Kluyveromyces lactis: one gene and its partners. The protein of the gene in region 1 interacts with the protein of each later gene in a pairwise test. Links are inferred from orthologs where the notes say so. Each region holds a gene or a part of one and is shown in the gene's direction. Other genes may lie near its edges.

Region 1 (9,068 bases):
GCTAAAGAACCACATCTTGACAAAAGCTCCCTTACCCATAGAATATGGTACATAAATGAGCGCGTTGCAGACCCTAAATCTACACAAACTTTACTGAGTAACTATGTGTTATCCCCTTCTGCATTTTTGGAGCTTCAGACTAAACACGAAATTACTAAATCGATGTATTCACGGCAACTCAAGGATTATGATTCCCAAATAATCAGTTTGGTTGTTGAAGTTAAACAGAAATCTTCAAACCAACATTGGCCCTCCAATTTTTTCCATTACAACAAATTGAATGCACCATCGGGAATTATGGGGTTGTCAAATTTGGGAAACACTTGTTACATGAATTCCGCATTACAATGTCTATTGCACATACCGGAACTCAATGAATACTTTCTTTACAAAGGCTATGAACGTGAAATTAATATCAACAATCCCTTAGGACACAAAGGTGACGTTGCCCATGCATTTGGACATCTGTTGTATTCACTCTTTGCACCTTCGTACGGTCAATCTACGTTTTATGCTCCCAGAAATTTCAAGAATACGATCGGTCACTATAATTCCCTTTTTGCCGGTTATGGTCAACAGGATTCTCAAGAATTTCTAGCATTTTTATTAGATGGTCTACACGAAGATCTCAATAGAGTGATCGAAAAGCCATACGTGAACAAACCAGAATTCCCAAATGATGGTCAAATAGATGATACAGATCAAATAGTGCTGTTGGCAGCCAATATGTGGGATTACATTAAAAAACGGAATGATTCAGTCATTATGGACCTTTTCGTCGGTTTATACAAATCAACACTTGTTTGCCCTAATTGCAACCATGTATCAATCACATTCGATCCATATAACGACTTGACATTACCTCTTCCCATTGAGAATTATTGGTCGACAAAGGTTACGATTTTTCCTCAAAACTCTCCTCCTTGCACCTTAGAAGTTGAACTATCTAAAACATCTTCTTACAATGACCTCAAAGCATATGTTGCTCAACATGCAAATATGCATGCGAATGACTTAATAGGCGCAGAGATATTTAATCATCAATTCTACAACAACTATGAATCGAACGTCGAAGCTGACTATTTGCCAATATCCGAGTTAATATCAGAAAGTGATACTGTTATATTTTACGAGGTTCATAGAGGACAAGATGATCTTGTTGTTCCGATCCTTAACACACGTTTTGAAGAAGGTTTTAAAACACCGAGGTTGTTTGGATATCCTTTCTTTATTGCACTCTCGCAAGCCGAACAATTCAGTTATGGTGCGATACGAAAGAAAATCGAAAAATGTTATCAAAACTTCTCCGGAGGATTTTCTGAGTTCCCCATAGTAGGTAAGACTAAGATGCCAGATCTCTCCTCCATGCCTTTATTGGAGAAAAGGTACAGTCAATGTGAGATAGAGTCAATTATGCCTGAATTAGAATATATCAATCCGGAGATGTCAGTCGATGAGTTTTTTCAACTGAAAATCTTGAAGGTTGATTCTGTCAGTTCGAATCGTAGAGTTACTAGTTTTTCTGGTGTTTCACTAGGACAGACTTCCGATGAGCCTAACTCACAAATATGGATACCGCCTACAGCATCCTTGATAACCTATAATCACAGCGAACTGATACGCAAAGCTCTCCCAGAGGCTATTGAAGCAGCATATTACTATTCTGATATGTTATCAAACGAAGATGATATTCCTAATGATCAAACAGTTTCGGATACTGCTAATGACCTTGCCACAAAGTCCTACACCAGTCCCAACCCCGAAGAAAATGTGACAAGTAGTGCAGAGGCCCTGGATGGAACATTGCACTTAAAAGTCAGTCCATTGTTAGATGTCCACAATGCGATTATTTGCGAATGGGAGGCTGTCAAAGTGATTAATGTTTTTGATGAAGATAATGGAGTGAACTGGGATCATCCAGCAATTCTTGAAAATTTGAGCTTGTCAGAAGTCAGAAAAACAAGAGCCCAAACAGAAAAATCAAGTATTACTCTCGATTCGTGTTTACGGCTCTTTTCTCAACCCGAAATTTTGGGCTCAGCAGACTCTTGGTACTGTCCGAATTGCAAACAGCATACCCAGGCTTCTAAACAGATAGAATTATGGAATACTCCTGATATTTTATTGATACATTTAAAGCGTTTCGAAAATCAGCGATCTTTTAGTGATAAGATCGACGCGACTGTTAAATTTCCAATAGAAGGTTTGGATATGTCTCCTTATTTATCTTACAAAAAGGAAGGTGAAAATGATGTTTATGATTTGATTGCTGTGGACAACCATTATGGTGGTCTTGGAGGTGGCCATTACACCGCATACTGCAGAAACTTTATTGACGGCAAATGGTACTATTTTGACGATTCCCGGGTTAATGAAGTATCTCCTGAAAATAGCATTGCCGGATCTGCTTACTTGTTATTCTACAGAAGACGCACTTCAGGGAACCAAACTCTTGGCAATGGAAAATTGCGGGACATTATTGATATTTCTCGGAAAGAATATGAACAGAAACAGGACGAGTTTATGACAAACGTGGAAACATTATACGCTGCAACACATACAGACACTGAGAGTGAAGCATCAGATTCGGACAGGAGCTCAGTTGATGAAGAAATGGACTCTGACAACAGCGACTGTGAAAATGATAAAAAATCAGCATTTGTTGATCAGAGCGATATTTCAAGCAATTCTTTAGGTATGGACAACTTAACATACAGTAACAGACCTTCAAAAGATAACACTATTCATACTTCGAAGAATGCAAATGGTAGCATCGAATCTACTTTGAACAACAATGAACTACCTGAAGCAGAACAAACGGTTACAGCAACAGAAAGAAAAGGAGCTCTACAATACAACGTATCGAGCCTCGAGGTTGGCAGTAATATTGCGAAATTAGATACGCATGACTCTTCGCGGAGAAAGCTTAGGCTTTTAGATAAAATATATCTTCCAGATTCCTCTAACCTTAACTCGAGTACAGATTCACTATCACCATGTATTTCCCACACAGAATCATCTTCTAATAATAACGAATCTTAGATTGTTCAGAATACAACATCACCCTTATTGAATTTCCTGGCCAGCAGCGAAATTTGCATACCGCACGAATAAATGCATTGAATCTTATTAGAAGCTCATTTTAGACAAATACATACCGAAATATAGCATTGACATTCGTTTATACGAACAAACAAACTATCACTCTATTTTATTAATAACCTCATCGTATAGCGGAATTGTTTCCGCTGCACCTTTTCTCGTAATGGTTATGGAACTAGCTACAGTTGCAAACTGTATAGCTTTCTCTAGATCGCGTTTTTGATATAATTGAGATACTACCGCTCCAAGGAAGGTATCACCAGCCGCAGTAGTATCAACAACTTTCTCAACCGCTATTGAAGGAACGTGACCTCCTTTAACGTTTTGCTTAGAGGTAAAAACTGCACCGAATTCTCCCAAAGTTATAATAACAACCGAGGAATTTGATGTGTTTATCAAATTACTCTGATAATACTGCGCTAATTCTAGGTATCCCAGCTTGAAGCTCTCCGCAATTCTCGATTTGTAGTTCTCAACCACGGCTTCACCATACAGTGATTCGCCAATTTGAATGGCTTCAATTTCATTAACAATTAAAATATCAACAGATTTCCAGTCTTCTACTTTTAATGCATGAAATGGAGAAGGGTTGAATACTACCTCAAAGTTTGGTCTATTTGCCTTTATCCAATTCATGATGGAAGGAGGATCAGGAATTTCATGTTGAAACACAATGAATTCTTTGGCGTTATTTTGAAACATCACTTCAAGCTGCTTATCAGAATACATAGTCTTACTGTTCGCTCCTGCTGTAATCATGATTCTATTTTGTCCCTTAGCTTTTTCCACTATAATTACTGCAACACCAGTTGACTCGTCATCAACCTCTTCAACATATTCTGTATTGATGTTATGATACTGCAATTTTGATAGTAGTTGATTTCCAAATGAATCAGAACCTACGTGGCCAACCATCCTAATGTTGCTTGTCTGGTCATCAGATGGTTTGGTTAATTTCGCGAGCGAAATGCATTGATTCAACCCCTTACCACCAGCATGTGTTTCAAACGAATCCGCAACGAAGGTCTCTCCTGCTACCGGAACACGCTCCGTATACGTGACCAAATCAAAATTTAACGATCCCACGACAACTATGCCCATACTGTTGTCTTGTTTACTTTGGGGTCCAAGCTCTTTATGTCGCAGTTAATGCATTGTATATACTGTCAAATCCTGCATATAATTCTTATCATTTCGTTTCAGATGTCCATAAATAAACCCAAAGCAGAGAACAAAACGGTACCTTTTTACATTTAAGCTAATTAAAAGTAACGAAGATGTAACGTACCACTTGACATCTATCCCACCTTTCGCTGGATTAGCTGTTATTTAGGGTATATCACATCAATATATCGGTCACGTGAGAATTATATTCTTTTAAGCAGCCTAGGGAGTCCGCAGATCTATTCAGAACCTTGTCACTTAAGAATTGAAAGGCATAACCAGTATACTGTATCGATTCCTGATAGTGTTCGACCCTCTCAGGGGTTTATACCAGTGTTTTCCATCCATTATTACTGCATAAATCTTTCAAACCTTCATAACGTCAAGGATGTATAAAAAAGTGAAAAACTTCAACTAGGTCTTTTACAAACGATTATAGCTCATCGCATGGGCTTAAGGATGGAGGAACTCCGCCAAGGAGTTGCTACAACCGATCAAGTATGACTGAAAGTATTGATATACATCCAATAGTTTTCCCACCCGAAGTTTTAGCTCGAATTTCGCCTGACATCTCCTTACAAAGACATTTGTCTTTGGAAACTCGACCATGTTCAAGAGGATTCGAAGAATTCAGAGATGTTGCCATTAACGATGGTAATATATCTAGGTACAGTACGAACTGTCAAAATGCAACTACAAATAACATTATTGGTTCCAGTCTTCTACGCTCTGGCAAGACCTTTGTGATAACTTCGATAACGGGTGGCATCATTGAAGAGACATTACCGGCGAACAATACTGAAGATGTTGGAGAAGAAGAATTGATGAAGCTTTCAGAAGATACTGATAGGCTCTGCGAAAATTCAACTATTTATCCCGTAGTAGAGGTACAACGTGGACGTGTTGGTGGTCCTACCGATGAAGAGATGATCACTTCAGAAAAGCTATACAAGACACTCTTACATTCTGGAATTCTTAAGAAAACAGCTTTGGCTGTATCGTGCGGTATTCGCAGGACTGAAGAAGATGGAAGTGTCACCACAATATACAGTGACGAGCTACTCGATGAGGAGAAAAAAATTAATGAAGCAAACAATAGGAAATGGTCCTATGTGCTTTATGCCAAAATACAAGTTTTCAGCCGTAACGGTCCAATTTATGATCTCTGTTGGAATTCTTTGATTAGTGCGCTAAAAACAGTGCAACTACCTAGAGCTTTCCTAGACGAACGTGCTGCTGATTTGAAAATTGCTATAAGAACCCGAGGTCGTAGTATGACAATTCGTGAAACATACGACATCTTATGCGACCCACACAAATCTTTACCTTTAAAATTGAACGAAGGAGAATTATGCTATGGTTCAAACTACGGAATCATTGACATCGAACCTTTAGCACAATTGGCCAAAAATGATGACGAAATGGACGTGGATAAACCAACTTCAGTATTATTAGCGGATATAGAAACAGAGGCCGAGGAATCATCAATTCTATCTACATTGTCCTTGACAACGAACAAAAATGGTCAATTCAAGGCTGCAACAATCATCGGAGGTGACTCTAAGATCACACCTGAAATGATAAAAAGGTGCATATTTTTATCTAAACAAAGATCAAAAGATATTGAATCCAAAGTTTAGTTGTGTAAGAAGCATATCGATATCTTTATAATACACGACATATTCAAACTTTCTTCAAAACAAACGTCAGAGTAATCTTGAACGTCAATCAATAGTTACTTACAAAAGAGGCTAAATTTCTAGTTATCTACGTGAGTTCTCTTTCGTACCAAATCATGACAGGAAACCTATTGAAGGTAAAACATCCATAAGAAAATGTAACATAAATAAACAAGGATGAAGAGAAGAGAATAAAAAATGATAGCGTGTGTTGAATATTACAACGTTTACATGCAAAAACATGTATTTATGCCTTCTTAGATCTAGTATTTCTCTTTCTTGGAGCTGGAGAAGGAGAGGGAGTACTCACATTCTTCAAATCGACATTCACATATTCGTTAACCTTAGCTGCAACACCACCACGAACTCTTTTAACAACCTTAGACTTCTTTGTGCCTTGACGTCTGTACACTTCAATGTAAAATGCAATGAATAAAAATAAGTAAGAAGAGATGATGGCGCATCCAGAGAAAGTGGCAGTAGTCGAACCGACACAAGAACCGCAATGTGGTAGGCTTGGGAAATAATCAGTAGCAACCTTTTGCCAAACCGCGAAATAAATGAAGCATATGTCAACAACGAATTGGATGATTTGGAATCTTGTAACCCATTCTTTCCACCAAACTCTAATACCTCTAGCTGCCAAGAAGTAGTACCAGTACATGACAACGTGGACACCCAAGTTCAGAGAAATTGGAACCCATGATATAGCCGTGGTACCGACCAATTGAGTGAAACATAGTAACGCAGTAGCACCGTGGTGGTAAGTGTGCAAAAATGTCAATTTCTTGTGCTTCAAGACCAAGAATATAGTGTCGATAAATTCGATAAACTTGGTAATGTAGTTCAAATAATACAAAGTAACCAAAGGTTGTGTCCAGGCACCATAATTGCAAATAGCGTAGTACAAACCATGTCTGATGATCATTGGGGTTAACTGTTCTATCATCAACACGAGCAATGTAGAAGATAAAAGTGTTAAAAACAAATTGTGCAATTGGAATAGGAAGTTCAACTTGAAAGGTTCGCTGTTCTTCAAAACAGCACGACCACCAAAGATGACGAGATAATAAGTTGCAATAGCAGCCAAGACTGGGTATAATTCACTTAATGGTAATTCACCAGATACAAACTTGAATTGACTTGGAATGAATTTTCCATCAGTAGCCTTAGTGACAATGGCATCAAAATTGTTCCATAATGAGATATTGAAAAAAGGTCTGTCAACTGTTGGGACATAATCCATCACCACTGGATATTTCTCTACAAAATCTTCAAGGTACTGTGAAGTGTTTGAAAGTGCGGACATGTTGAAGTATTGCTACAAAGTATCAATGAAATGACAAAACAGCAGTATGTGGAATTTCTTGTGAGATCTTCAGATTGTTTTCTTACGTTAGTTGCCCAAATGTTATGCGGAACCAAGCGTTTTCAAAAGAAATGTAATAAATGAGCGACAATTAAATGGATAATCGAGAGCCAATCTCTTGAAGATAGTTGGAAATATGAAAGACAGTTCGGCGTTCTCTTCATCTTTTTATTCGAAAAACACGTCAGTGGTGTTCGATTCCATTTCATTATTTGGAAATGTTGACGTTATGCCAAATTTTGAAATTTTACCTCGGTTCGTTGAATGTGATATGATGTAGCGAGTTAGTGTCAGCAGAGGCTTGGAATCTGTAGAACCGACAGAGCAAGAGATGGACAATGGTGTGCTTATCTGAAACGAACTTTAAAATTTCAGTGCATTAAGTGACTAATTGTTACAAATTTGTGTACATAGATAGGATCTGACACGTTCATACATGTGAGCGAATATAAAAAAAATATGGCCTGAAACCAGAAGGCTGTATGATTGATAATAATGACAGTAAAATTCATTGGCGCTGTTGATTATATGTGCTTGAATTGATCTGAGTTTGGTGTGGTGATTGTTGATTAAGATTACTCGTGTTTGTTGTAGGCATCAGGCCGAACGCTTCAGAGGATGAAGCAACCGCTGCAAGTGCGGCTAAAGGATCGTTAGCAAAGTTAATCGATTGTGGAACTGCCTGCACGGTTGGAGGTGGATTCGACGGAGCAGGAGGCAACGTAGGTGCCAGAGCCATTGGCTTCGATAAATCATTTGATTGTTTCGTTGGTACATTATGAGATAACTCCTGAACAATTACTTTGGAGACAACCGAATCACTTCCCTTAGAGGGAGGAATTGATGGAGGAGAAACAGAAGCATTGCGCATTGGTCTTAAAATTGGTAAATTTGATGGCCCAATCGGTGATGCCACAACAGTTGGTGATGTGTTTAAGATCGTATTAGTTTTAGTTTCCGAATCTTCGCCATCGTTCAATAGGCTTCTGATTGAAGACCTCCTACTGGAAGTAATTGTATGTGATTGTACTGGAGCATGATGAGTTTCAGAAGCATTCGCAGAAAAATGAACAGAGGGAGTTTGTGGTTTGCCAAGGTTCGAATAAGCATTGGAGATTGAGGGTTGAATTTCAGGAAGTTTATTAGTATTCAGTCTTGGAAGAGTATGTGGAACACTGAATGATGTGATAACAGGTGAATGCTGGGGAGGCAAACCTTGGGTTGGAGTTGGTAATCTCGAAAAACTATCTTCATTTCCGGTTAGAGAAAAGGATGGTTTGTGAATGGATGACAATTTAGAATCATTGAAAAATCCAACAGCAGGTTTTTGTTGCTGCGGTATCGTTTGTAGCGGAAGTGGCTCAATGGATGGTTTTTCCGCAGGCTTATTAACCGTTGCAGGCGAAGGCAATGAGTTCACGATAATAGCTGAACTCACATTGGGAGCCGGAGCAATAGCAACGGGTTTGGTAGACTGGTCTCCTGATGATAGAACTGATGAGGATGCAAGTTGGTTGTTGCCCATTTCAACAAGAGCATACCATCCATTTTGTTCCGCTTTCCTCTGGAAATAGTTTTTAACCATAGTTGTTGATTTTGTTCCAAGTTTCTGAGATATCGATGTCCAATTTGAACCAAACTCTCTGAGCAATTCTGGGAACTTTTTTGCTTCCTGTACACTCCAATAGCTCGATTTATGCACAGCTTCTGTTTGTTTCAATTTCTTCTTCATAGGTTGGTCTGCAGAATTGACG
Region 2 (8,331 bases), on another chromosome or scaffold:
GTGACTTTATATTTAAATTGTACTTTTTCAACATAATGCCATGATTTTGGCATTACATACCAACCTTGGGGAACCACATTTCGAACAATAAAATCATATCTGAAGATCATAACGACTGCTTGCTTGCTTGAAGCCCGCCATTTTACTAACAGGAAATGCATAGAAAAGTAATCTTATTATTAACAGTCTCTTTACTACTTCGAATTGGATTCTTTTCTTACGGTATTTTCCAAGACTCGCATTTTGACGTTAAATATACTGATATCGATTACTTTGTCTTTCATGATGCAGCTGGTTACGTTAACAATGGACAATCCCCTTATTTGCGTGATACATACAGGTACACACCTTTATTGAGCTTCTTGTTACTACCCAATTATTATCTAAAGTGGATTCATATGGGGAAAGTCTTCTTTGTTTTATTTGATCTCATTACAGGTGTGATGATCATAAAACTATTACAAGGTTCATGTCAATTGACAAAACAGCTAATTCTAGCTTCTATTTGGTTATTGAACCCGATTGTTATAACGATAAGTACTCGAGGAAACGCTGAATCGGTTTTATGTTTTTTGATCATATGTGCTTTATACTTTTTGAAAAGAGACAGGTTACTTATTTCAGGACTTTTCTATGGGTTATCGATTCATTTCAAGATCTATCCGATAATCTATGCGCTACCGATCGGAATATATCTCTTGTTGTCGAGTCACAATAGAAACTGCATTTGGCGATTGTTCATGATAGGGATATCGACGCTAATCGGCATAACTGCGCCGACGTATTTCATGTACAAGCTTTACGGGAGCGAATTTATCGAACACTCGTACATGTACCATCTCACGAGAACAGACCACAGACACAATTTTTCGATTTGGAACCTGGTCTTACTCTTAGAATCTGCTGGTATTCATCTTTCCCAATCTATCGAACTATCTAAGCTGGCATTCGTTCCTCAATTGACACTATGTGCAGTACTACCTTATCTATTGTGGAAATCACAGACGTTCGAAAATTTAATGAATGTCCTATTCGTACAAACATACGCATTCGTTACTTTCAATAAAGTATGCACTTCTCAATATTTCATTTGGTATTTGGTATTATCCCCATTTTATTTCGCAAATACAACCATTACATGGAGAAAAGGTGTGGTCTGTATATTTTTATGGATATTGTCTCAAGCCGTATGGCTTTCACAAGCATATCTACTTGAATTCAAAGGCCAAAATGTATTTTTCCCCAACTTATTCTTTGGCAATATAGTGTTTTTCCTCATCAACGTCTATCTACTCGGTGTCTTTATCACTGACATCAAATCCAGAACGTCATTCCAAGACAATCAACATAAGAAGAATATATAATTTTAACTTAGCATATACTGTAGCGTACTGTGACATTTTCAAAGCCACGATCGAAGTCCTGACGAGTATTTTGATGTTCCATTCCGTTCATCCAATTTCATATCCGTTGTCAGATTCACTCGCTGCTGTTTTCTTCATACTGATTATTGAAATAGAATTTGAAAAAAAAAAAGTATTCAAGTTTTGAATCTTACAAGTGAAATATGAGCTCATCGACATCTACTAGAAGAAGTACATTCAAAGCAGAGGCTGTCAGATTGAAATTAGCCCCTCCAGCTAGCGTGTAGGAAAACCCACTTTAACTAACAGAGTAACATAATGTCACGTTTTGAAATATATTCTCCAGAGGGATTGCGTGTCGATGGTCGTCGTTGGAATGAGCTAAGAAGTTTCAACTGTTCCATCAACACTCACCCGAATGCTGCAGATGGATCCTCGTACTTGGAACAAGGTAACAATAAGATTATCACATTAGTTGCTGGTCCTCAAGAACCATCCTCGAGGTCACAAGTCAATACGAAACAAGCTACTTTATCCGTTACTATTAACTTAACGAAGTTTGCCAAGATGGAAAGAAGCAAATCAAGCCATAAGAATGAAAGAAGAACCTTAGAATGGCAAGCTTCGTTAGTGCGTACATTTGAAAAGAACTTGATGCTTCATCTCTATCCTCGTACGTCAATTGACGTTCAAGTTCATGCTCTACAGTTAGATGGTGGGATTCTTGGGGCAATGCTTAATGGAATAACATTGGCTCTGATAGATGCTGGTATCGCAATGTATGATTTTGTAAGCGGGGTTTCAGTGGGACTTTATGATACTACACCACTACTAGACCTTAACTCGCTTGAGGAAAATGCAATGAGCAGTGTTACCATAGGCACAATTGGTAAATCAGAAAAATTATCTTTATTAATGGTGGAAGATAAAGTGCCTTTGGATAGACTTGAGAGTGTCATGGCCATCGGAATAGCAGGCACTCACAGAATTAGAGATTTAATGGATAAGGAGCTTAGAAAGCATGGAAAAACAAGAGTTGAAAACTCTTCGAATTGATTTTTAAACCATTAATTATAAACTTCACATAACATGTAAACATAAATGCATTCTACAATTCGGATCTTGCCTTTAACTACAATTTTTTACCTATAGATGAGAATAACCCCTTAGATTTTTCTCTCATGCTGCTAGAAAACATCTTCTTCTTCAAATGTGTAACATTTTGGTTCACCGTATTTGCGACGCTGTTCTTTTTACTCAAAATATCCGCTTGAGCATAAGCATCTTGAACATGTTTATTGACTTTGTAGTCTTTGAAGATAAAATCCTTATCAGATGTGGTAGAAGACTTCAAAGCATATTGGATCCAGCTCTGGAGTCCGGAGTCATATTCTTTTAATTGTTCCTTGTAATTGTTTAATTTTTTTAGTTTTTGGGAGTGAAGCTCATTACTGCTTAAAAGCTTGACCAAGTCTAGATTCGGGACAGTTGACTGGTGAACCACTGATGGAATTTCATCTCCTTCAGAACTGAATGCTTCTTTTAATTTTGATTCACCTTTTGGAGCTTCACCGTTCACGTGTTTGAATATAGTATCGTTACTAGAAACGTAGTCAGTAGATTCATTGGTAATTTGTATGTTCGTAGGGAGAGCCGGAGCAGATGCATTATTGGCAATCAGAGCAGGAACGTTATATATGGTTTGATTGTCATAAATTGTTTTAGTGTCAGCAATCGTCTTGAGGTCGTCATCATCTGATGCAACGTCATGTGGAAAAGCATTAAATTGACTTTCTCCGTCTGATGCTACCGATGAATTGCGTTGAATATTGGATGTTGTGTTTTTGTTCACTTCAACAATTTCCCCGTCCTCATTTACGGTGTATCCTTCGGGAGGATTGTTGATATCGATGGTCTCAGTAACAAAACCAGATCGGAATGCATCGGTGTCTGGTTTCCACTTGCCTAGATTGATTGACTCCCTGGTTGAGAATGCTAATTTCTGTGGGCCGTCTTCCTCGTCTTCAGAGCTGTCAGAATATCCTCCGACGTCATTTTCAGAATTCTGATCTGGAACGTCCGATTGGGTTATAGAGGATTGACTCAATCGTTTCGTTACGCTCTCCGTTATCGAATTAACATCGCTATCAGCTGTCAGTCCATCTGTATCGTTGTTATTCAATGTATGCCTATCTGAATCGTCGATTTCCTTGTCCTCATCAACCATCGCAGCGAAATAGCCACTTTTAGTGACTTCTAAATCTCCATCCTCATCAGTATAATCTATGTCATCATCGCTTGAATCGAGAACAGAGTTCCTGACAGGGTTTCTGAATTTAAAAGATTCTGCAGAATGAACAACATACTGTCCCAGGCTAACTTCGGAAATAGCACGTTCCTTCTCTTCGCCAGAAGACTCTGATGAATACCCGTCGTGATATGACAGGTCTGTTTTGGATGTTTTACGAAGCTTTACAGGCGACGCATTGTCTTTCATCAAACTTGGTTCTGAACCATAACCATTTAGCAGTGAATCAGAATCATTGCTGTCTCCTTCTTTTGAGTGTTGAATAGACAACTGGGATTCTGACGGAAGACTATTAATAGAACTTGGAGGCATCTCTTCTTTATCTTGACTTCCAATTGATTCTGGATGACTGTCTGATTTGGACCAGTTATCTTCATCTACCGCGTCTTTACTGCCTTTGTCATCTGAAATTGCAACATCACCCTGTATTCTAGAAGGAATTTCAGTTGTTGGGTCAATCATTTCGTCTTGCAACTCCACTGATATTTGGCTAGTTTCTACTTCAGAAGCAGCATTCTTGAAAAGTTCTACTTCGGTATCATCTCCTTTAAGGGGTTCTTCCTCTGCACTGACTATCTTGAAAGGTTCCACTTCAACATCAGCTCTTTTAACCGACTCTGCTTCAGAATCATCTCCCTTAAAGGATTCTTCCCCAACATTCACAATCTGGACAGGTTCAACTTCAACCTTAGCTCTCTTAACTGATTCTGCTACAGACTCAACTTCACTAACCGATTCTGCTTTCGCATTATCTGTTTTGTTAATCTCCGTAGCAGATTCAGCTAGCTTGGCCGATTCTATATCACTTTTAACAGATTCTCTGTCATCCGTATCTTCATCGTTTACGTATGCGGCAAAATAGCCAGTCTTCGATACCTTCAATTCTGCATCATCTTCATCCTCTGGATCACTGGTATTGTTAACGTCCTCATCTTTTGCAGTCATCTCTTGAGATATTTGATGCATTAGAGAATCTAGATCATCATTGACAGATTTATTTCCTGATCTTACAGATGTATTCAGAGAGTCAGATCTTAGGCAGGTGCCAATTGATGGATCAGGTGAGCTAGATTTTGCAATGTTGTTAGATTCAGGAATATTTACCTGTGGTAGTTGCGGAATATTATTCGTTAGGCCCTCATCCTCAGAATTAGATGAATAGGCATCCCAATCAGCACCGTCATAGTTTGCCTTTGACGCGCTAACCCATCTCTGGGACTTATGCCTAGTAATGTTATCACTCATTTTCGCGTTATCCTGATAGTGTTGCCTTGCTATGTCGTCCATAAAAGAATCCTCTTGATGTCCTTAACTTTCATTAAAGTGGCTTAAACTTAATCCCAAGGTTTTTGTTTATTATTTAATTTACTTTTCTTAAAAGAATGATCTAAATTGACACGAAGATCACAAGAAATTTACCTTGAAACGCAGATTTGAAAAATAAATGTGTCAGAGACAGGTCAAATCTTTTAAAGTAAGGTACCATGATGGATGATGTATATTAAAACAAATATGGTAAGCTTCCTCGATGAAAATACTGGTGGAGTAATGTTGCCAGTAATAATACGTACAGTATGTGAAATTTGACTAATATTCTATGCATTTATATATATATATCTTTTAATTTTTAGTATGAAAGAAATAATCACTCTACAAATGGACGTCCTGACCGTTAGCAAAAGATATTAGTAAATAGAAATTCAAACCGGAGATGAAGATCCATACAATGACAGCAACAACCGTAGTGAAAATGCTGTTACTGAAATCTTTGTAATGAACAGACTCATCTGATAGAGGTTCAGGGGAATTAATTAGATGAGCGTCCACCTCATCATCAGTATCATGAGCAATAACGGTAGCATCATCTGTGGCTAAGTTACTGGAAGACAAATTCTGTAATGCAAATAAGTTTGACGGTTCTTGAGAACAATCTATAGCCCAAGGAACTCTCATAATGTTTTTATTACTAGTGAAGTAAATCAATGGAGCACTCACAAATGGTAATAGTAACGAGAGAACCACCTGTGAGGCATTGAGAGCCCCTGATAAACCGTTTCTACCGGCCACCAATACTAAAATCAAACATGGTGTTATAGCAACAACACGCGTCAATGCACGCCTTAATGCTGGAGCAACAGTCCAATTTAAGAATCCTTCCGAGACCATTTGTCCACTTAGAGTACACACAATACCTGCAGATTGCCCAGAGAATAGTAAGGCCAAGACAAAAATTGTACCAGCAGTCTTTGAAAGAGTTTCTGATAATAGATTATAGATGGAGAAAAGATCTGCTTCGTGCGCATTGTTTGAAGTTACCCCGTATAGAGTGGCACCAGCTACAATTAGGATCGAACAGTTAACAAATAGGGCAACAGTAAATAATGAAACCAATAATTCAGCCATTGTGTAATTTAATGTGTCGTGGATTGCATCGATAGAAGGTTTGTAATTATCATGGTTATTATCTTCATCATTTTGTGATGGAATGTAATGTCCCTGTTTGATGTCGTAATCCCTTAATCTTGGTTGAACAACACCTGATCCGAGGTATAAGCTATGGGGCATAACTGTAGCTCCAAGAATTGCCAAACTTAGATACAAACCATCACTCTCGAAAACAGCTTTTGACGGTAGGAATCCCTTAAACACTTCACCTACAGAGTCGATGTGGACGGAGAATAACTCGATTGCGAAACAAACCACTGTTGCAAACACGAGTAACGAAACAAAGGCTTCGAACCACCGTACAAGTTTCAAGGATCCATTAGGCTTGTATGCCAATAACACAACCAAGACATCCACTACTGTTAAAATGACACCTAGTGGCAACGGGATCTTGAAAAGGATGTTCAAGGAGATTGCTGTACCAACCACTTCCGCAAGATCAGTAGCAATAATCGCCACTTCAGCTAGCACGTATAGAACCAAATTGAGGGTCGGAGGTAAATGTTTTTTACAATTTTGAGCCAAATCTAATCCGGTGACGGCACCTAACTTAGCACATAAGCATTGCCAAAATGCTGCTAGAATATTGGTGACCAGAACAGAGAATAAAAGTTTATATCTGTGCGCAGAACCTGCTGCCACAGCGGTACTGAAATTCCCCGGGTCCATGTATGAAACGGAAACCATTAATCCGGGACCCACAAACCTGGCATACTTCTTCAATATACGAACGCAGTTTTGGAATGTTTTAACGTAAGTCGGAGTATCAGTATCTCCTTCATGAACGAACGCATTATATTGCTGGTCATTGGTGTTCCATGCAGAAGACCCATCACTACCTGCAACCTTTTTAAACTGAAGAGAAGAAGACATGCGGGGTTATACTTGGGTAATATATTTTTTTTTTTTTGATTGTATTTATCAGAAGACAGTACACGTTCAGCGAAGTAGGTCCAGATGGTGAGTATATCACTTTCTTATATTTTGATAATGGTGCGGGGAACAAAAAAGAATGGATTGAAGACCTGTACTTGGAATGTGTCCGTCACACTAGCACAGCAGTTTTGAAATCGGTAGTGAACTCAAAAAGATGGTTAAGCAATAAAGTGCAATTAACTGTTTTCAGAAAAGCCAAACTAGACACACTTGAACTTTTCAGTAGGTTTCAATGAAAAGACTAGGCAAAGAAACTGAATAGGTGCAACTAATAAAAAATCGAGCCAGAAAACCAGGTTTCTTTGAACACACCAACACACCCTTATTGATAATAGTATGATGAAAACAGAATGGTCTAGATCGAAAATATCAGCTTCAAATTAATGGAATGCTAGTGGTATAAAAGGATTGCAAATCTCACACATCATGTTGAGTATTAAATATTGATGAAGTGAACAATTGAAACTGTAAGCATAATTTTTATATATATTTTCCAAGTACCTCTTTAATCCCAAAGAAAAAAAAAAGACAGTTAAAATTTCAGATCATTTAAGCCTGTATGAAAAATGAATTGCGAGATAAAGGTGAAAGTGACTGCATAGTTTTCATGCCGGGTTTGAAAAATTCAGCCAAGACGAATCATGTGAACGTTGCTGGTATCCTTGTTATCATACGTCCTCCACAGTACCCAATTCAGAGCAGCTATCGGTATACACATATAGACTTGTTTATATTTCGACATCAGGCACCGTGGCCGAGGCTAAATGTAAGGGTAACGGGTCCCGGAGCATTATGTCAAGACACATAACTTCAAGGTTTCCATATCACGTGCGGTAAAATAAGCCATATGAAATATATGTTACCCGTCCTAAGACCTTTTGTCCAAATAGAACGTCATGGAAGCATTTTCACTCAGTTTTCCAAGGACAGTAATGTATGCGCCAGCTCGATAATACATCATTATATTCTTTCCAAAACCCTATGCTCGTCCAATCTTGACACTGTGTGATCTACATTTGATGATCCCAAAATATCATGCCAACTGCATGGATAAACGTGACGTTAGTGCAGGTACTCAGGGACTGAAGGCAGGGTATAATGGACACATCACCGTTAGGAACAAACATATCTCATTCTGTGCGGACATTGTCTGTCTAAGATCTCAAAAGAAAAAAAAAATGAAATAAATGGTTTACGTGTCAAAATGACTTTTCTTCTTGTTCTTCTCTTCCGTGAATTTTCATCGATTTTCGAGGAAAATCTTGGTGGAAATATGAA
Region 3 (8,596 bases), on another chromosome or scaffold:
GTTATGATTTGGCAAAAGTTGCAAAGACCTTGGATTCACTTCCACACGTATCTGATGGTCTAATTTTCACTCCAGTACAAGCGGCATATCATATTGGTGGTAAAGATAGCTACCTTTTGAAATGGAAACCAGAAGTAGAAAATACTGTGGATTTCAAACTGATCATTGAACCTCCTGTAGTAGAAGACAAATCTTTACCTAAAAGCGATAAAAACAGGTTTTACTACAATTACGATGTTAAGCCACTTTTCCATTTGTACGTTTGGCAAGGTGGTAATGACGTGAACAATAGAATACAGGACTTCGAACAACCCTTTACTAAGAGTGATTTGGAGCTTTTGGAGAGAACCTATAGAAAATTTGCAGAAATAGAAATCGACGACAAACAATGGAATGAGCTCAAGGCCATGGAGGAGCCATTGAACGGAAGAATTGTAGAATGTTCCAAAGATCAGGAATCAGGTGCATGGAAACTACTTAGGTTCAGAGACGATAAACTCAATGGTAATCACGTATCAGTCGTTCAAAAAGTCTTGGAAAGTATCGGTGATTCTGTTTCATTGGATGATCTAGAACAAGTGGTAGATGAAATGAGATCTCGCTGGAAAGAACGTGAACAAGGACTGAAAAATGCACAAAAACAATTCAACCATCAGGCTTCTGCGAGATCGTCGCTGTCGCAGCAACATTCAACCGAACCAGAGCAGTCGCAAGATCAACCAAAATATGTAGACGATGACGATGATAATTGGTCTGATGACGAGCCAGACACAAAAAGACAGAAGATTTAAGAATCTTGCGTCAAGTTAAAAGCATAACATATACACGAGCATATGTGCTCATATTATATTTCTTTCCTGTATTTACATGGGTTTTTTTGTAATATATAATATGTACAATTAGAATGGATATAGTGTAATACTCTTGAGCAATTCCCTTGGATTACCATTACCACTTAAGAAGTACTTTTCTTCGGTAAGCTGTTCGAAGGTTTTGTTCTGTAAATCTTTGTCAAGTACGATACCCGCCTTTTGGTAGAACTCCATCAATTTGGCAACTTCATCTTTATTAAGTTTGGTAACTTCGAACTCCTGTACTTTACCCTTTAGTAACTTTTCGGCCAAAATTTGTTCATAGTGGTATCTGGTCAAATATGGATCGTGAGGAAGCTTTTGCAAACCAATTGATAACGTTCTATTGGTTCTATCCAAACCCGAAGTAGCCAAAACAACACAGCTGTCCTTAGCAGCGAATTGCAAATCGCCAGAGACTAAATCAAAAATAGATTGACCAACCTGGAATTTTAAAATATGAATATTTTTGTTGCTTGTGTCTTTATATGCTGTGAATGGTGTAGTCAAAAGATGGGAGAAGTTATCAACAGTGAAATAGACCGGATGATCAGTTTGGTTAGTTAATTCTTTAATGAATGCATCGAAAACGGCTCCACGGTGACGAGATGGTGCCTTGACACTTAGTAAATCGTATAACGTGGATTTACCTGCAGATAAATTCACATTTCTCTTCACAGATAGGTCTTTACCCCCAGAGTGAACTAATTTATAGTCTTTGGAGAGTTTAATGGATTGCAATAATTCTTTTTTGTTGGATTTGACAAATTTGGTTAATAAGTTCTTGATGTACATTGGTTGAATGTATCTGTCTTCATCCAAGAAGAAGTCATTTCTACCATTTGTAAGAAGTTCGGAGTTGGAAACAGTTAACACAAGTCCCTTGTTTTCTAGTGCGTGAGCATGTAGCTGGGCCAGTAGAGTAGACTTACCCACACCTGGTTCACCTGTTAGAACAAGCTTTTTGTTTTCTGACTTCCGTAAGGCTTCGTACAATTTTCTAGTGGTGGAATCTCTAACTAGTGATATTGGACGTGTGAACAATTCATTGAATTGATTTTGCTTGAATGAACCCAGACGATACAAGAATTGTAATTGCTGCTCTGAGAAAGAATGGACATCTGCGGCACTGATGTTATTAGGATTAAACATGGGCAGATCGACAAAAGTTGCATTTTTATGTAAATTAGCCGTTGCAACAGCTGGTTGCCATCTCTTATACATGGAACCAGGAGTAATTCTTTTGGCTGCTGCCTTAGTTCCTGATTGAGCCTTAGCGAACCCTTGGGCTTTCTTCTTAGCTGCAGCCTCTACTGCAGCACTGCAGGAGAACTGTCTGGTATGTATTCTCAACATGATCGAAATATATCTTACGGGTCCGGATATCTCTAAAAAGAAGTGAAATCCGTCTCACTAATATAGCTTCTTTTTTACTAAATCACACTTCTGTAATTATTCTTAAAACCAACACAAATTGACTTATTAAAGTGGATTATTTCACGTAGTTCTGTTATTCTTTATCTATGTCACTTGAAGTCTGCCTGCTACTGAAGTAGTTCAAATTTCGAAAATTTTTCAGATATTGAAATCATTAAAGCTTAAGAGAAAATAAAATATACGTGTCACGTGAAAACACTAAGAACTATGGAAGTATATCTATTAAAGGGAAGAACGAAACACGCAATGCTATAAATGGTGTCGGACAGAAGATCTTAATCCTGTAGTTGGATACCTCTTGCTGTGAGGAAATCAAAGATTGGCCTTTGTGGTTTTTTGCCCTTTTCGTCGGATGGAGTAGGATCTGATGGAGCCTTTTGTTCCAAATCTTCGGTAACAAGTTCCACTGCTTGAGAGGGTTGCTGTAGTTCTTGCCCCTTCAGCTGCTGTTGTTCTTGGCTAATATTATATGAAGGGTTGAAGGTGTCGATGTACGAAAAAAAGGCGTTGAAGACGTTTTCATTGACTTCTTCAAGGTAAATTTTATCGTAGATATGTTTCATCTTGAACGTATCCATTTCGCTTTGATATTTACTGAAGTCAATCGGATCATATCCGAATTCTTGTAATCTAGTGTTGTAACCATCATAAACCGGGGCTTCCAATAATAAACCTAAAGCAGGGGCTTTTGGAATATTGATTTTTTCTTGACCGTATGCCTGCCTAATTCTTTCCAATGGACTGAAACATCTTGTGATCAAAGTTGCCATAGATATCATCTTACGAATTTGATGTAACATAAACGATTGACCGTGGATTTTGATCGATACCCATTCCGTCTTAGCTTCACCAATAACAAACGGTTCTGAGACTGTGATTTGCTTCATGAATCTCTTGGCGCTCGGATCGTTGAAATCTTTCCCCAAGGTGAAATTATGGAAGTTAAAAGTACCCTCGTATTGTTTTAATGCACTTCTGAATCTATCTAAACGTTCTTTTGAAATTCTGTAGGCTCTCTTGTGTTCTGCTTCGAGTTTCTTGAATGCTTTGCTCTTTTGATAAGTTTCATTGTTTTCATCAAAAGAATCTTTCGGCATGACAAAAGCTGCAATCTCTTCCAATTCCTCCTTGGTAAACTTAGATTCAGCCTCAGTAGAGAATGCTTCCCAGAATTGTGCACTTTCTACATCATCTTGGATAACATTCGGTATTTCCTTCTTGCTAGCTTCAATCTCGTTGTATAAATAAGTAGACGGTTTTGGGCCAATCAGTGAATAAGTTGGTAACAGATACTCGTACCATCTAGAGCTACACATTTTCCGACAGTCGAATGCCTTGTTGACACGGGAAATGTCCCAAACTCTAATCTGATCCGGCAATTCGTTGTTGATTTTTTCTTTGACTTCGGGATCTTCGATGATTAACTTTAATGAAATCACATTCCCACCTGCATGAACACCTTTATCGGTTCTTGCCGCACGTTGAAACCCGTTTTTCTTCAAATCTGTCGAATTTGCCTTGGATATCGCACCAGCTCTAACAAAGGCTTCAAACAGTTCCTTTTCAATGGTGTCGTTCGGTGGATTGTATTGCATTCCATGATATCCAGTACCGCAGTACCCAATCATGACTGCTACTTTCCTCTTGGGTAGACGAACTTCTTGGGGAATTGGATTTCCATCAGCATCCACAGCTAAAGCCACTGACTCGTCCTTATCCTTGGATCGAGTCTCTTTCTTTTCGTTGGAAAGGTCTGTGACAACAGCGGTTGGCCCATTATCAGTGTCGTTTGGTTTCTGACGCTTTTCAGAATTCTCACCATCCTCATAGTCAGCTTTCCGTGATCTGGTCTGCTTGTAGATGGCGCCTCTCTTGTAAGTATCTTCACCAGGTTGATCATCATCATAAACCGGTCTCAAATTTTGTTCTTCGCTCATAACACCCGCTTCTAGTTTTCCCTATTGAAGCACCTCTGCAGATAGATAAGTGGTAGGTCTGATTGAGCCTTAAGAAGAATAGAAAAGCCCAATTTAGCATTCAACGTTCAACCTTGAGACTTTCAATCAGAGCGATGAGCTGTTGATAAAAGTTTAAACTTTCCAAGATTTGTATGAAGAATCATATTTTTTCAGCAAAGAGGTCAGCGATGATCTAAGAAAATCATGAATACAGGAATAACATATTTCTTTAGCTCATTTTATCCATTTGGATACTCATTATGTGCGTTAACCTCTATCTGGAGCCCAGTGTATCGATTGTAAAAGGTTTGAGCACCTGTATACTGCGTTTACGAAGGTTATTAGATATATTTCTCAGTATCACGTGATTTGTTTGTTTCTTTTTCCTGGTATCTTGAAGGGCAGCATCAAATTTTCTTTTCATCATTATTAGACTGAAGCTCATCGCATAAAAGATGATGCTATACCTGAAGCGATGAGTACTCTACGAAATAGTATTCGAAGCTGTTGTATTGAATTCAAAGCCGGTCAGAATCAGGTATCGAAATAATAGCAATGAGACAATTGACAGAGGAAGAGACGAAAGTAATCTTCGAGAAGCTAGCAGGGTACATTGGAAGGAATATAGTGTACTTGGTGGATAATAAAGATCAACCTCATGTTTTCCGACTACAGAAGGATAGAGTGTACTATGTCCCAGAGCACATTGCCAATTTAGCTACTTCAGTTGCTAGACCGAACCTGATGTCATTGGGTCTCTGCATGGGGAAGTTTACCAAGACTGGGAAATTTAGATTGCATATCACATCTTTGTCAGTACTTGCGCAATACGCTAAGTACAAAGTGTGGATCAAACCTAATGGTGAGATGCCATTCCTATACGGTAACCACGTTTTGAAGGCACACGTTGGTAAGATGTCCGATGATATTCCAGAGCATGCAGGTGTAATCGTATTTTCGATGCATGATGTGCCATTAGGATTCGGTGTGAGTGCTAAGAGCACTTCTGAGTCCAGAGATCTTCAACCAACCAGTATTGTCGCATTCAGACAAGCAGATATTGGTGAGTACTTGAGAGATGAAGATACATTGTTTACTTAGGCGAATACTCCAAAGTACATTTTCACTTACTTGTTACATATATAGAACTTATTACTCATTTCACTTTCTGGATAGAACAAAACCTTCCCCTGGTGCAACTGCAATTCAGCGATGTTCCCACCTCAAAAAAAAGTTGTTATTTATCAACGATATTGTATATTATGATATATTACGGAACAAATAATACTCACATCTTCATCAAAGACTGTCTAAATTAAAATCAAAGACGACTGATATTTGATATCGCAGGAAAAACTACATTAATTAAAAGTAAAATGAATGTACATATGTTGTTAGTTCCCTCTAATGCTTACGCGAGTTTTTAGATTTAGCATTTGACGTTTTTTTACCTGCTGGCTTCTTCACGGCTTTCTTAGTGATATCTAATTTGGCTTCTGAAGCCTTAGATGCTTTAAAACCTTGAGTGTTCTTCCCAGAAATGTTCTTTTTGCTAACCCTATAAGTTGATCTCTCCTTTAACGGTAACCATCTTTCAGGATCCAACTTCTTAGACTCGTCAAAGTTCTTTGGTAGTTTCTTGTTTTTGTGCACTCTTCTTTTCTTCTTTGGAGTTGATTTGATCACCGACGATTTACTCTTACCATTCTCGAATACTGAAATTCCTGCATTAAGGAGGGAGTCAACATTAACATCGACGATAACTCCGTTGATATCATTAGCATCGACATAGTCACCAAGGTCGCTGGCGTCTGCTTTCGCGATGTATTTTGCAGAAGCAGAATTGTTATCTTTGGCAGCGAGTGCTCTGAAAATTCGCTCAGCCTTTTGAGTTTGGCCTTGTTCTAAAAATTTGAAAGCGATGAACTCCCAGAAAGAAACATCTTCTTCAAGAACCTGCTCTGAATATAATCTTAATAGCTTCGATAAATGCTTTGAAGTTGAAGAAGACCTGTTAGTAGCATCGTATAAGTTTAGCAAAACATAGGAAAGAATACGTTTATATTTAGATAATTCTTCCATAGGGAAATGATTCCAAACTTTTTCAGCTACAACCAAAGCTTTATCCAGATTTCCTGCTTTAACTAGTACTTGCACACACACCAATGTTTGAATCAAAAGTTTCTGTTCGTTTTTTATTTCTGCCTTGGCAGACCTATCTAGTTTCTTGCATAGAGCATCAGCTTGGTTTTCATAGGGTTCATATAAAACGTTACCCACATTTTCAGTGTAGAACTTGTTGGCAATTGAATGGACACTTGTTTTATTTTTACCAGCTTTGTTGTTACTGAACACTTTCAAAAGTTCAATGTTGCTAGAGATAATTTGTGCTTGTTGGAATGAAAATTGCGAGTGTTTTCCTGTTAGGGTTGGTGTGTCAAGTTCACGTAATAATAAAGGCAAATTATCCTTAAACTTTGAGATACTCACGTAGGATTTCAAATTGGCCTTGGCAAGTACAGTATTCAAGTCATTTTGATCGGCGGAATTTTCGACTATTTCTTTGAGGAGTGATTTAGCCTCTTCTTTGTGACCAAGCACCTGGTGTATATATGAAATTTGTAATTTAATTGCTCTTAAATCTTCGACCGCTGCATCATCTTCTTGTGCTAAGTTGAATGCTCTTTCTGCATACTCTAGTGCAGCTTCATGGTTCCTGATTGAACACAATTGACATGCTTTGTTAAACGAGATATCGTATGTATCGAATTCCTTATCAAGAGTAACATTTCCAACCAATTCAGGAATTTCTGAAAGAGCAGCTTCTTTATTGCATGCCAATTCTGCAGTATTATCGAGCTCATGTGGAATGGCTAGCAATTTCTGGTATACTTCATACGCCTTCTTAGGTTTCTTTTTTTTTAACAAGTTTTGAGCGTATATGTGCAAAAGCTGTCTTTGGGAATCTGTTAGAGTTTCAAGACTCATCAATTCATCTCCAATAAGGGATACGTCCGAATCAGATGCAAATTTCTTTTCCTTACCCACCTTATAACAAGCATATTGTTCGTAAGCTGAAAAACTATTGGGCTTTGCGGTCGCACTAGGGGAAAAAAGAACAGGTATCTTACGGTGAGCTTTTATAATCGCAGAGTATTGCTCAGAATCTAGAAGTTCGTTGAGAATAGCTCTACTTGTCTCCTCTTCACCGAGAGTCTTCGAGAGAGTATCGTACTTTGTCTGTATGGCATCAATGTGCACTTTTTCATCCTTTACATTAAGCTTCGTAAGCAAAGAAACCAAATCCTTAGCGTTCGACATTACTTTTTTCAGTAGAGCTTATTTCCTTCGGAAATTCCTCAATTACGATAGCAATGAGTCGATGGATCTCTATCGTGAGACAACTATTCGTTGGTCCCTATGAAGTGAATTTCGATAATCCATTTTTTTCTTCAACTTTTTTTCATTGTTGCAATGTTAAAAGAATGAAAAAAATGGCAAAGATCTGGATGAGCATATGTGAAATAAAAGATGTGATGACTAAATAAGGGATTTAACCTCAATGTAGTTCTCTTTTTTCAACTATGCTAGCATATTTGGCTACAATTGTTTCTGCAGGTCTTAATGATAATGTTGAAATGTTTTTTCACAAAGTAGAACTCTGTTTAACTATGATTAATTTCCCTTTTGTACCAATTTTTCCTCAGACAATTCCGCATATTTTCTTTATTGTACATGTAAAAAGTCTTGCATTCATAGAAATGTAATATTTAATCGAGCGATGAGATGAGATGAGATGCGGTTAGAGACCATAAGGCCGACTCTTTAAGCAGTAACTAAACGTTGAGCATGCAGCCGGTATTTTCAAGGTTTCCATACGCCTCCAAATCGGGCTTTATTTCACTGGCTTCCAGAGGTTATGCGGTGTCACGGAATTCAGGTTCCAGTATCAAGTCCAATTTAAGATCGAAGCCCAGAGCAGACACGAGATGGAACACCAAAGCGAAACCGCCGGTGAAGAATAGGAAAAGTAATGGGAAAGGTGATCACAGGTCACATTCGAGGAGCGATTCCCGCGCAAAGCCCTCACAAGAGCAGACGCAACAGCAGTTCCAGTATGGTGAGTATGGGAAACTATCGGAAGGCGATCCAAAGATATTGGAAAGGTCAAAGAGGTTAGTGTCTAAGATAAATGATTTCAGTCAGTTGAAGATTTTACCAGAGGTAAGGGACAAACTTATGGAGGTGATTTCAAGCGAATCATTGCTAAATAAGAATTTACTGGACGTGAAGTATAATCCAAAAGAGAATAATGTACAAGAATTCAAGAAACATTTGAAACCATCACCA

Evidence for each region.
Region 2: the proteins of RRP43 (region 1) and SKI6 interact in binary tests that used the Saccharomyces cerevisiae proteins (3 or more experiments, as listed by UniProt). The link is inferred for Kluyveromyces lactis from reciprocal best matches to the Saccharomyces cerevisiae genes RRP43 and SKI6.
Region 3: the proteins of RRP43 (region 1) and NIP7 interact in binary tests that used the Saccharomyces cerevisiae proteins (3 or more experiments, as listed by UniProt). The link is inferred for Kluyveromyces lactis from reciprocal best matches to the Saccharomyces cerevisiae genes RRP43 and NIP7.

The regions. Positions count from the first base shown.
Region 1 is NC_006039.1:315,532-324,599, forward strand, and holds RRP43 (exosome non-catalytic core subunit RRP43), read left to right. Parts: upstream 1-4,766; coding exon 4,767-5,906; downstream 5,907-9,068. Other genes in the region: putative ubiquitin-specific protease UBP12, read left to right, coding at 1-3,042; RBK1 (putative ribokinase), read right to left, coding at 3,202-4,203; KLLA0_C03542g (elongation of very long chain fatty acids protein), read right to left, coding at 6,193-7,254; SNT1 (Snt1p), read right to left, coding at 7,823-9,068.
Region 2 is NC_006040.1:807,862-816,192, reverse strand, and holds SKI6 (exosome non-catalytic core subunit SKI6), read left to right. Parts: upstream 1-1,682; coding exon 1,683-2,420; downstream 2,421-8,331. Other genes in the region: GPI14 (glycosylphosphatidylinositol-alpha 1,4 mannosyltransferase I), read left to right, coding at 156-1,364; FYV8 (Fyv8p), read right to left, coding at 2,497-4,959; divalent metal ion transporter SMF2, read right to left, coding at 5,323-6,990. UniProt on the Saccharomyces cerevisiae protein: Non-catalytic component of the RNA exosome complex which has 3'->5' exoribonuclease activity and participates in a multitude of cellular RNA processing and degradation events.
Region 3 is NC_006038.1:196,951-205,546, forward strand, and holds NIP7 (ribosome biosynthesis protein NIP7), read left to right. Parts: upstream 1-4,801; coding exon 4,802-5,347; downstream 5,348-8,596. Other genes in the region: CEG1 (mRNA guanylyltransferase), read left to right, coding at 1-791; RSM23 (mitochondrial 37S ribosomal protein mS29), read right to left, coding at 900-2,207; pseudouridine synthase PUS1, read right to left, coding at 2,564-4,225; signal recognition particle subunit SRP72, read right to left, coding at 5,651-7,567; MRH4 (ATP-dependent RNA helicase), read left to right, coding at 8,096-8,596. UniProt on the Saccharomyces cerevisiae protein: Required for proper 27S pre-rRNA processing and 60S ribosome subunit assembly.